2 linked regions of the Caenorhabditis elegans genome follow. The protein of the gene in region 1 purifies or fractionates together with the protein of each later gene. This does not show direct contact. Each region holds a gene or a part of one and is shown in the gene's direction. Other genes may lie near its edges.

Evidence for each region. Proteins that work in one complex are often made in the same cells at the same time.
Region 2: the proteins of rps-19 (region 1) and icd-1 purify together in Caenorhabditis elegans (affinity purification with mass spectrometry; 2 studies listed by BioGRID, with this or other methods). This does not show direct contact.

What each region holds. Positions count from the first base shown.
Region 1 is NC_003279.8:9,622,713-9,630,120, reverse strand, and holds rps-19 (Small ribosomal subunit protein eS19), read left to right. Parts: upstream 1-4,324; 5' UTR 4,325-4,329; coding exon 4,330-4,540; intron 4,541-4,583; coding exon 4,584-4,753; intron 4,754-4,954; coding exon 4,955-5,014; 3' UTR 5,015-5,053; downstream 5,054-7,408. Other genes in the region: Protein hsr-9, read right to left, coding at 1-178, 272-486, 533-1,572, 1,621-1,729, 1,777-2,982, 3,031-3,459, 3,504-3,570, 3,618-3,654 and 1 more; T05F1.2 (F-box associated domain-containing protein), read right to left, coding at 5,515-5,711, 5,757-6,043, 6,090-6,352, 6,406-6,868, 6,914-7,365.
Region 2 is NC_003280.10:6,585,220-6,590,315, reverse strand, and holds icd-1 (Transcription factor BTF3 homolog), read left to right. Parts: upstream 1-1,660; 5' UTR 1,661-1,675; coding exon 1,676-1,750; intron 1,751-1,794; coding exon 1,795-1,908; intron 1,909-1,954; coding exon 1,955-2,063; intron 2,064-2,112; coding exon 2,113-2,241; intron 2,242-2,290; coding exon 2,291-2,349; 3' UTR 2,350-2,739; downstream 2,740-5,096. Other genes in the region: vps-32.1 (Charged multivesicular body protein 4b), read right to left, coding at 58-186, 468-605; C56C10.7 (putative trafficking protein particle complex subunit 13 homolog), read left to right, coding at 2,838-2,889, 2,935-3,103, 3,151-3,235, 3,709-3,833, 3,934-4,051, 4,146-4,154, 4,204-4,319, 4,705-4,897 and 1 more.

The sequences.
Region 1 (7,408 bases):
TGTTTCGTCAAGAGTTTCCCAGTCTCCGTCGACTACATCAGCACCGAGAAGCTCAAGAATAGGTTTCCAAATCTCGATGAAAGTTCCTCCGGGTCCAGTTTGTGTTACTTCACGAGCTGAGTGAGTTGAGTGTACATAAATTGTTGTTCCTTTCAAAAGCTCTGATGGATTTTTGGGCCTTAAATGTTTTCGATGATCAGAATTTTCAGAATCGTTATAAAAATCAAAAATCTAACGGAATTGAAATCATTCATCATGAAAGTTCACTTACGCTGGCATATCCTGAGACTCGTCAAAAATTGAAGCACCTGCAGGAAGAACATAGTCCGTATAGTCGACACATTTCCCCTGTTCACCACATGCTTGTAACCATGTATTGTTAACACAAGGAACACCACGAGCTAAAGCTGCCAAGTACTTGTGAGTACGATAGTACGTATCAGAAATCAGCAATGGTTCGTAGTTGGAGTAACGCTCTTGGAAGCTCTTAAAATAAAATGATTAGAATGTTATTTGTAAGACGTTATCTTACATTAAGCTGCTCCGTGACGATCCCACCATTCTGAGTAATGAAGTTCATCAGATTCTTCTTTTTGAACATTGAAGGAACACTCGCAGAATTTGAACGATTGGCCGAAGTTAGCATGAAGACCTTTCCGGTGAAAATGTTCTTTCCAATAGCTTCCTCGTTCATTGGCAAAAGCTTTTCTTCTTCTTCAGCCGGACTTGCTGATCCTCCTCTAGAGGAAACTAGATCAACTCCCTTCTTCTTACGACCTTTTGGTTTTGCTTGATTAGAAACTGTAGTTGGCTTACGAGCACGAGTAGCCTCCGATATTGTAGTAATATTAGACGTAACAATAGCCGTAGCACTTTGATCTTTGCTTTTAACATAGTCTCGCCATTCTGAATGATCGAAAGAAACATCATACCAATCAACAACCTTCACTTCGTCAGTTGGTTCCCCATCTTCATCCATGATCGATATGGTTAATTTTCCTTTTTTCCATTCCGCAGCACTAATATCGTTAGGACCAGAATCCAATCGAACATCGGATTCGTTGTAGACTGCAGTTTTGCCAGGGGATAAAGCGCGAAGTGGAATGATTCCAGAATTTGGAACATCTTTAATGACGTTATCAACCGTGAATTGTACCTTGTATCTTCCGAGACCATCACGCTCCGAAAGAACGACAGCGGGATAAAACATCTTCTGAAACACAGCGTAGACTCGAGCTCCAGGAGCATGAGGTTCATTATCGTCTTGTGGATGATCAACTAGTAGTTGATCCTCATCAGATAGATTTTTAAGAGGAATAACTGGTTCTTTTTTCGCCGGAGGTGTTTTGATGTCAGAAGCTTCACTTTTTCTCTTTCTTCCACGATTTGACGAAGCTGGGGTAGCAGTTGCAGGCGCATCTTCCATTTCAATATCATTTTCGTGATGTTCTTCCTCCTTTTTAGCTCTTGATCTTCTTCCCGAAGTTCCTACAGACGATACTCTATGCTTCATCTTATCTTTACCAGGAGTCATATCAGCAAGAGAACGCCGATTCTTAGCAGCAGGAGAAGCTGAAAGCATAGATATTCTTAATTTCAAGAAACTACAAAACAACTTACATTGTAACTCAGCAATTCTAGACTCTGCCGCCTTCTCTGTCATAGAATACTTTGACTCTGAATTACCCAATTTGGCATACTTGACAGCACCAAAATTGTGCACTTCCATCTGAAAACAAGCAAAATTACAGATAAACATTAATTTTTAATTCTCACGTGAATATTCTTCAAAGGTTCTGGATGATGCTCCATTTCAGTATCAAGATCATATGGATCATATTCTGCACTTTTCTTGCTCGATGAAGGCGCACTTTTAGCTGCTCCACGACCTTTCTTTTGTGGTAGAGTTTCTTCAATAGTCTCATCAGCTTCTTCGATAGGGTCTTCTGTGATAGAACCTTGCTTCTTTCTTCCACGAACTGTCGTTCGTTTATTTGTCACAGCCGGCGTCACCGGAGCAGATTTTGCAGGAGGCTTAGCCCTTGTAGATCTACGAGATGATGTTGGAGTTTCGACTTTCTCAGCTTCTACACTTTCCATAGTTTCAGCATCAGCATTAGAACGCCTTCCTCGCGGAGTTCGGGTGGACTTCGCTTGGTTTGTATCGTGAGTTTTTGTAGGGTCTTCGGTTTCTTTTTCTTGCAAGTTTTCCTCATTTGCTTGCGACTTTCTTCCTCTTCCTCTTGTGGACCGCGGTGTTGGCACTGCAGACGAAGTTGCTGAAGAAGATGCAGCTGAACGTCTTCCACGCCCCTGTTTCGGAGTTTCTTCTTCAGTTGGATGTTCCGTGTTTTCAACTTCCTCGGTGACAGATGTGTCTTCTGTTGCAACAGAGCGTCTTGATCTTCCCTTGCGCGGTGATGTTTCTTCAACGCCAGAGTCGCCAACAACATTCTCCGTAGGATCAATTACTTCATCTCTGTCTCCACCCCTGGAAGATCGACCACGCCTGGGGGTGCTGTTACTAACAATGGGCGTTTTCGTTTCATCTGCATTCACTTCCGATTTTTGCCCACGACCACCACGGCGTGGAGTGTTTGACGAAGGAGTAGACGAAACAGTTGCTGAAACTCTTTTAGCGCGACGAGTGCTGCGGCTAGAAGATTGAGATTCTTGGTTCTCTTCATTTGCTTCTGATTCTCCATCTGGCGATTTTGAATCGAGACCAATTTTTTGAGAATCATCAACACTGTCTTGTGAAATCTCACCAACGCCTGGTTCAGACGCCTTGTCATCATTAACATTCTCAATAGGTTCACCACTATCTGCTTGCTCTTTCACTGGACTTTCTACTTCAACCTCATTTTCGGGTTCCTCTGTATCGTCCTCATTCTCTGGTTCTTCTTTCTCGTCGCTCACACTACCTCCTTTTGGAGAATCATCTTCATGCAGATCGTCGTCATCTGACGTTGACACTGCCTTCTTCAATATTAATTGATTAAAATTAGGTTTTTCGAATTATCAACAAACCTTAGTTTTCTTTTTTGGAGCTTCGTCTTCGTCGTCTTCTTGCACATCATCAATATCTTCTTCATCTTCATCTCCAACCACCTTTTCTTCATTTTCTTCAGGTTTCTCGGTATCATTTGAAACAGAAATCGATTCAGCAATGTCTAATTTATCGTCACTAGTATCCATCGAGATAATTTTTTTCTCGAAAGTTTCTCCCTCTCCTTCTTCAATTGGTGATTCAGACTTTTCCGAGTCGTTCATGCTTTCTCCAGATTTAGCATCCTTACCGGCTGAACATTGTGGCTCATCTTCTGCCTTTTCTTTATCAAGTGCAGTAACATCGGCAGCTACATCTGGCTCGTCTTCCGCTTCTATGATAACTGATGACTTGGTAATGACACTCGAATCGACTATGTGCCCATCAGGAGTTGAATCTCTAGCTGGGGTCTAAGTAAGCAAATTTTAGATTAATACAAACACACTGGACTTACAGAAATCACAGCAGAGTTCCCAAAAAGACTCCTACTTTTATCCAGAACTGAAGTTGTTGTGGGGAGGCTGAAATAGTGGGATAAATATGTATGGATACTCGAAAAGCAGGTAACCTTGTCTGTGTGACGGTGGAGTCGTCTTCTTCGAATTCTGAAAACAGAAAATAAAAGGAAAACTTCACGTAAGTTAAGTTTAATTTTTAGAGTCGATATTCACTTCGAGTGACCACCTTAATTTCAATAAGGTTGAATTTTATATGCTTGACCCGCAAAAATATTAATTAACCTTTCACATTCTTATTATATCGAAAAAATTACCCATAGTGTTCGAAGACGATGCCATTTTCCTCCAAGCAGTTCAGTTCTTCAAGTCTATGCTGTAACATATGTGTTTAATTTTGCCATTTTAAGCGTAAAAGTGTCTGCGAAACAAAAAGTTACGACGTCAAAAAAAATCGTTTGAAAATTCAATTCAAACGCCCGCCCCCGCTGTTCAAAAAATGTACTGAGTGTCGCCCGGTGCGTTGCGGTCGCGTGCCGAGTCGCTACGCAGCCAATTGGTATGCAGGTTATGTCTTACGATCAGCGGTGAAGAATTTTTTCGTTTCTTTTCCTACAGGTTTTTTCAATTTTTTGACGCGATTTTCACGGTTTTTCGAGTTTCTATGTATTGATTGGGAGGAAATATGTTACGTTTACAGTTTTCTTAAATAATATCCACTTTCTGAAGCGCTTGTTGTTAAGAATAGTTTTTTTGGCAGTGGGTTTTCTTTCCGTCTTCTAATATACGATTTTTTCAAAGCTATACTTTTCCTTTTCAGGTAAAATGACGAGAGCGACCTCCATCAAGGACGTCGACCAGCACGAGGCTACCAAGTCCATCGCTCACTTCTTGAAGAAGAGTGGAAAGGTTAAGGTTCCAGAGTGGTCCGATCTTGTTAAGCTCGGAGTCAACAAGGAGCTTGCCCCAGTCGATCCAGATTGGTTCTACACCCGTGCTGCCAGTCTTGCTCGTCACTTGTATTTCCGCCCCGCCGGTAACTTTTTATTGACAAAATCATTACTTATTTTTCTATTTAGGAATCGGAGCCTTCAAGAAGGTCTACGGAGGAAACAAGAGACGTGGTGTTGCACCAAACCATTTCCAAACCTCAGCTGGAAACTGCCTCAGAAAGGCTGTTCAGCAACTCGAGAAGATCAAGTGGGTTGAGAAGCACCCAGACGGCAAAGGAAGAATTCTCTCCAAGCAGGTGAGTATTCTATTTTATTATCTAAAAATATAAAATTCGAACTTTTTTGTAAAAATAAATTATTAAAAATTATTCATAAATATATGCGCTGAAAATTAAACATGCAAAATTAGATGTTTATATTAAAATTAAATTTCTGCATGTTTTCTTTTTTGAATTTTCTCGAAATTTTCAACATCGTACTAAAACTAAATTTTGCAGGGACGCAAGGATCTTGACAGAATCGCCACCAGCCTCAGATCCTCTGGACAACAAGCCTAAACACTCGTTGTTTGTGTTATAAATGTTGTTGTTATAAAAAACTTCATGATACATCTCCATTAACAAGAAAGTAAGATGATGGCGCAAATTATGAATCAGAAAAAAAAGTTATTAAAGAAAAACTTCGCCCGAAACGTTTGAATATATACACCTGTATAGTTCTCACTTTTTTGAATAGTGAAATAATCAGTCTACAAAATATTATACGTCTTTAGTGGACCTTAGAACAAAGCTACAGAACTTGAATACAATCATTAATATATCTACTTGCTCTTCCGAAATCAAATTTGAAACATTATTAGCAGAAACTAACTTCCTATTCTGATACCCAAATTATTTCGCTAAACATCGCGAAAGGCATTTCTGATAAAGAAAATAAAATACAGGGTTAAGCTATTTATGGTTTCACAAACTTGCGATCAATTGGAAGTCGGAAAAATTTTAAAGATTAGTTATCATACAACGATAGATACAATTTTTAAATGAATGTTGGTGGACATTTATTTAGATGTAGAAAAGCGGAATCTAGCAAGTTCGCATGCGAACTTCTCGTTGTGAATTGCCGTGAACAAAATGTTCTTCTTATCTTGGGAAATCTGGAGCAATGCACACGCACCTCCGTGCCAAACAGTCCTACCCGGAGTAGATGATACCTCGCCATTCGATGAAGTTCCTGATACACCCGAACCAGATCGGTCTAAAAATTCAACTTTTAACTAGAAATAATTATCTAGAAATAAACCTCGAGATTGAGTCTCATCACTTGAGTTTTGTTTACTGTGCTGCCCTGAGGACATGTTTTTGGATTCGGCGTTCGTCGGAGTAACTCCTGCTTCTTCTATATTTGATTCCGATGGAGGAGTCGAAGGTCCGGAACCAGGAAGAGAGCTTCCATACCCAGACGAAAGAGATTCTTTTTGAAAACCACGTGTCGATTGCAGGCCATCGGGACGCAACACTTTCCACTCACGATATAGAACGTACGAAATATAGTTGTTCTTTTCAACAGCCTTCGTAAGCGGAGACGATCTGAATTAAGAATAATCAAAACTGCCACAAAGAACTGATTCCTCACAACTCAATATCGCTTGTCTTCGAATATTGGAGACCATTCAAAATCGGTTCGCTCTTTGATAACGGGCAATCGAGATTGATAGTGACACTCCGCAGACGGTGACCCATCTGTCCGTTTGACCACATTTGGAGAAATTCGAGAAGTTCCGAATTCGGAAGAATATAACGGTTTAAGTTGACCTCAGCCAACGAGCTCATTCTTGCCAAATCGGTAAGAGGGTTCTCAATAGTATTCTCAAAGATGATTCGTTTCGCCCAGAAGATCTGAAAATACGATGTTTTATTTAAATCGGCATAATATTTTAAAAATATCTTACCGGATAATTGCAATACGAAGTCTTCTCTACCCAATTCGGCATCTCACGTTCTTCGAATGGAATCACGTACGGCATAACTTCATGGTGCATGACTGCATTTCTTCTACTACGATACTCCTTTTCCTCAACAAAGTCTCCAGTATAGTTTCGCGCAATTGTTACTTCTGGAATAGTTCGCATTGTGTTAATTCTGTTCAGCCACCAATGTGTTGATCCAGGCGCATTGTGCACTATTCTGAGATTTCGGATGTGTCTGAACTTTTCGATAGAGAAGAGCTGAGACCAGTATTTGACATCAATGTCTAGTTTTTCGACAAAATTCGCGTCGTGAATGTTGATGAATTGGGAAAGATACTGAGCGGTTTCATGAATACATCCTTGATTTCCCAACTCCTCGTGGAACGGGTTTGTAGCTGTTGGGTATTGGACTGGCCAATCTTCAGGTACAACCTTCTTGATATAACTGCAATGCTTATTTTTCAGAAAGGGCAATTTTCATAGAATTTACCTTCTACAGAAATATCGTCCATCGTGTTGCTCAGAGAAGTCAAAATGCCAAAGCTGGTAGACCTTCACCTGTTTATGTTCTCCTTCTTTACCCTTCATGTCCCATGTCTTAACTCTGCCAATTTCAGCATTGTATTTGACATACGTTTTTGGTAGAAACTGTTCATTATTTTTCTTTCCTTTCTGCTTCTTGTCTTTGACATCAAGAACCAATTTTTTAGCACGATTATCATCATCGAATCTAGTTTTCGTAGTTGTTGCCCGTTCAGAGCCAATCTTCACAGAGACGAGGATTCTTTCCGCTTCGATCCATTTTTTGAACCAGTGCCACAATCCCTTCAATGTTTCTTTTTCGTTTTCGGAGAATTTTTCAAGATAATTGATTTTGTCAAGAATTGGCAAATCCCGCCACGGCTTGTATTCGTTCAATTTCTTAACTTGATCGGCAAGTTTCTGAAATAATGTTTATTTATGTGAAGTTGTTCAAAAATGCACA
Region 2 (5,096 bases), on another chromosome or scaffold:
CTGGAAAAAAACCGTGCTGTTCAATTAATTTTTATAATATTTCCCTTATATACCAACCTGATATCCGATAGTAGACAAAACTCCGTCAATATGGGCCAACTGCTTCTCGAAATTTCTCTTTCTATTCAAACACTGGAGAGCCATTCGCTTGTTTTTCGTTCCATACTTCACGGCATTTTGCTTTTCCTGAAAGTTTCTCAATTAAATGTCCGAAATTTGATGTTAATTTTAGAATATTATTTTTTGTTGGAAACTGGAATTATAAAACTATGATTCCAATTTCCCAAATGTATCCTATCAGAAAATCTTTTTTAACTTTTCTCGACTAAAATTTGATTTGACGTCAGTCAACAATCCAAATGCTGAGCAATGTTTTAATTACGTCACAAACAGATAGTTTACAAATTTAGATTTCAGCACAAACACTTATTAATGGTCCTGTTCTTAAAAATTATCTTCCAACCTACGTCGATAACTTTTTTCTCCAAGAATTCTTGTTTCTTCTCAAGCATCTCCTCTGTTTCCCGAAGTTTTTGAATAGATTCTTGTGGAGTAGACGGAGCTTCTTGCTTCCTGCCTCCGAAAATTTTGCCGAACAGGCTCATTTTCTGCAAAAAAAAAATAAATGAAAAAGCGAATATACAAAACGCTTAAAAGGAAGTGGTAGGACGTAGGAAAAAAGCACAAGTGGAGACGACAATCAATGGATGAATCATCACTTCAACCAAATAGGCGCGAAGCAAATACGTCATCATTTTTAGATAGTGTAATCGAGAAGAACAAAAAAGAGATCACATGATACATCAGTCAAAGAATGTATTGAAAAGTAAAATTGGGAACTTGTTTTACTAGCAATATAGCAATGGCCCGCCTTTGAGAGAATTGCTATGGAGATTTAATACAAACAAAACGACAATTGCCGGAGCGGCGATCGATTAACAGCGAGCTGGCGAAACACGGAGCACGTTAAGAAGGCATTGCTTCGAATGAAAGATTGCGATAAGTACGTTGCGGGAAAGGGTAGTGAATTGAAAAGAAAATTCAAAAGAAAATGAGGAAAGAAGGAGTTTCTAAACTAGAATTTCACAACTTAAATAAAGCCCAGAAACCCTTGTGATTCATGGTATGGCAGAACGAGACAGCGAGAAAATTGCGAAATAGCTTTGACATTTTAATGATGAAGCGAGATATAGAGAAATAGAGAAAGAAAGGAGTATGAGAAACGACGAGACAGAGAGGGTGAGAGGAAAACGACTGGCAGCAAGCCAGATTCTGCGTATGTGCCCCTTACCCCTATATCAAGAAATTTTAAAGCAAGGGGCACATACGCACGGAATGTTCGGGTCTCGCGAAAAAATTTTCTACCGTTTCGGTGATTTTTTCTGAATTTCATTGTTTTTGACTTCTTTCTATCTTTTTAGATTCTATTTCATTATTGTTTACACCATTTTCATAATTTTCTGTCGATCTCGTAGGTGTATTCGTTTCCGTGCCTGAATTTAGGCTAAAACTGATTCGATTGATAAACTTACATTTCCGTTTTTCGCGTTTGTCCGCATTTTCCCCGTCCCTTTGTTATTTTAGGAATAAATATTCTTAACTGGCTTTATCCTTTTTGTTCTCACGTTTTCACGTCTTTAATTATATTTTTCGTCTTCAGGTAATCCTTCCAAAAATGGATAGCAAGGCTATTGCGGAGAGAATCAAGAAGCTCCAAGCTCAACAGGAGCATGTCAGAATTGGAGGAAAGGTAAATATTTAAATTTATAATTTTATCTCTCCTATTTCTTTCAGGGAACTCCACGCAGAAAGAAGAAGGTCATCCACAAGACCGCTGCTGCCGATGACAAGAAGCTTCAAAGCAACTTGAAGAAACTCTCTGTCACCAACATTCCAGGAATCGAGGAGGTAAACTTTGATTTAAAGTATTAATTTAATTTCTGTAACTTTTCAGGTCAACATGATTAAGGACGATGGAACCGTTATCCACTTCAACAACCCAAAAGTCCAAACCTCTGTTCCAGCCAATACCTTCTCTGTCACAGGATCAGCCGATAACAAGCGTAAGTATTGCTCATTGGCTGAATGTTTTTAACCTTACATATTTTGCAGAGATCACTGAAATGCTCCCAGGAATCCTCAACCAACTCGGTCCAGAGTCCCTCACCCACCTCAAGAAACTTGCCAACAACGTTACCAAGCTCGGACCAGATGGAAAGGGAGAGGACGAAGATGTGCCAGGTTGGAAAATCATAAAAGATTTTTTTTAAATAACAGGTTCATTTTTCAGAACTTGTTGGAGACTTCGACGCCGCCTCAAAGAACGAGACGAAAGCCGATGAGCAATAAATCACTACCCTTTCATCGACCAATTCGCGAGTTTTGTGAGATGAACGGTACGGATAGCATCCGCATTAGTATATCCCATTTTTCTTGTTACTGTTGATCGATTTCAATGAATCTCTTTAAAAAAATACTTGCTCTGTCACCTTTTTTTCCGCCCCCATTAGTGTTCGTTGTTATACTTGTTTTGTATACAAATTTATTCCCGATCCTCAAATGGCTAATAAATGTTAGCTATGTATTTAAAGCAAGCTTTCTACGTTCCGATGATTTTGAATTCTTAGGGGTTCCGGGGATCCTTCTAGTAATATCTGTTCCTCGGTGTTTATTTTCCGTTATTTTGGGTAGTTTTCCACTGACTTCCATTTTGTTAAACTCAATAAAAGTTGCACAAATATTCCAGCTCGAAAGAATATTTTGTAAGGTTAGAAATTCCGAAAAGTTATACTGTGATTTCATCCCGGCGGAAAGCTAATTATTTATAAATCAGGACAATGGCTGACAATCCTGCAAGTTCTTCTTCACAACAGCTTCTTGCTCTGCGGGGTAATTTTAGTTCTCATCATTAATCAATCATAGCTTCGATTTTAGTTATGAGATTGGCTCGTCCAAAATTTGCTCCTGTCGATGGTTTCTCCCACGATCCCGTCGATCCTACAGGATTCGGTGAACTTCTCGCTGGAAAAGTTTCAGAAATATCGAAAGAATCTCGACAAGATCTTCCAATCGGCGAATATTTGATTGCACCACAAATGTTCGAGTGAGTCGATTGATCAAGGCGCTGTTTAAAAAACCGTTTCGTTTCAGAAATATCTATCTGGGAGAGACGTTTACTTTCTATGTAAATGTTGTAAACGAAAGCGAGAAGACTGTCTCTAGTGTGAGCCTAAAAGTAAGTAAATGGACTCATTTTTTAAGATAAAAAGTAAAAAAAAATTAAATTTCTTCGCTCACTGGAAATTCAAACTGGTTGCTGCGGAATTTATCGATTTTCATAGTTTTTTTATATTAAAACGAAAACTCAAATTAATGATAAAATAATTCAAATTTCACCAAATAGAGAAAAACGTTGAAAAATCGATACAAATTCCACAGCAACAAAATTTTGAAACCACAGTACTCCTGAAAGGCGCGCTCCCTTTTCGCAATTAACTAAAATTTGTCGTGTCGGGACCGGCCACTCTATTTTCGATACAAAATGCGCATCTGGGTAATATGAGCAAATTAATTTCACTCCAGATTTGCAGTTTCAGCTTTCTTAGTTGTGAAAAAGTGAATTTCCAAAATTCCAGGTATTTAACATGTAACAATTATCAATTTTCAAAGACCCCATCAATATTCCTTTTTAAAAAAGATTTGTTTCAGTGTGAGCTTCAAACATCAACTCAACGAGTTGTTCTTCCATGTTCCGTTCAAGACGCAACAATCGAATCTTCAAAATGTGAAGGACAGGTCATCAGTCACGAAGTGAAAGAAATCGGGCAACATATGTAAGTTTTCCTGTTTAATCTCTCTCTGGTTTTCCTCCATTTTCTCAAAATCTTCCCCCCGTTGCCATGACACCTTTGCATTAACTTTGTTCTTTTTTAGACTGATATGCTCGGTCAACTACAAAACATCGAACGGCGAGAACATGTATTTCCGGAAATTTTTCAAATTTCCAGTATCGAAACCGATTGATGTGAAAACAAAGTTTTACAGTGCCGAGGTGTGTGAGATTTTGTAATAAATATTAATTTTATTTGGTCAATTTTGCATGTTTCGTCCAACCGAGTGCTGTGTATAAATGTCGTTTTCTTTAGGACAATGCGGTGAGAACTTTAAAATATTTTATTTTTGTCTAAATTATGTTTCTTTCAGAATCAAGATGTCTACCTCGAAGCCCAAATTGAAAATACATCAAATGCGAATATGTTCCTGGAAAAAGTCGAGTTGGATCCAAGTCAACATTATAATGTTACTAGTATCGCTCATGAGTACGTACTACATATTACGGGAATACAAAATTCTGAGTATAATTATTGCGCAAAATATCTTTTAGCGAAAACTACAGTAACTTTTTAAATGTCTACTATAGCGCTTGTGTCGATTTCCGAAAATTTATTTATCGAACAAATATTGAAATTAAAGAAAATAATACGAAAAAACGAAGAAAAATGGATTATCGCTGTCACTATTCGAACAGAAATTCGTTTCGAAATCTAGCCCGTAAATCGACATGAGCGCTACAGTAGGCATCTAAAGAATTACTGTAGTTTTCGCTACGAGATATTTTGCGTGTCAAGTATGTTGCGCAATACGCATTTCAGAATTTTTAGGACCGTAATATATAGTATTTATATTTTTTAAAAATATTTATAGGGATGAATTTGGCGATGTTGGAAAACTTCTGAAACCAAAAGACATTCGTCAGTTTTTGTTCTGTCTAACACCAGCCGATGTTCATAACACACTTGGATATAAAGATTTGACAAGTATTGGAAAGTTGGATATGTCATGGAGAACGAGCATGGGAGAGAAGGGACGGCTCCAAACTAGTGCTCTTCAAAGAATTGTAAGTTTCACTTCTTTTGATAGAACATATTGAAACGAGTTTAGGCACCTGGATATGGAGATGTTCGACTTTCTGTCGAGAAGACGCCAGCATGCGTAGATGTTCAGAAACCTTTTGAAGTGTCTTGCAGACTTTACAATTGCTCGTAAGTCGATTATATTCTAACAGACGCGAAATTTTGTGATTTTTGACACAAAAA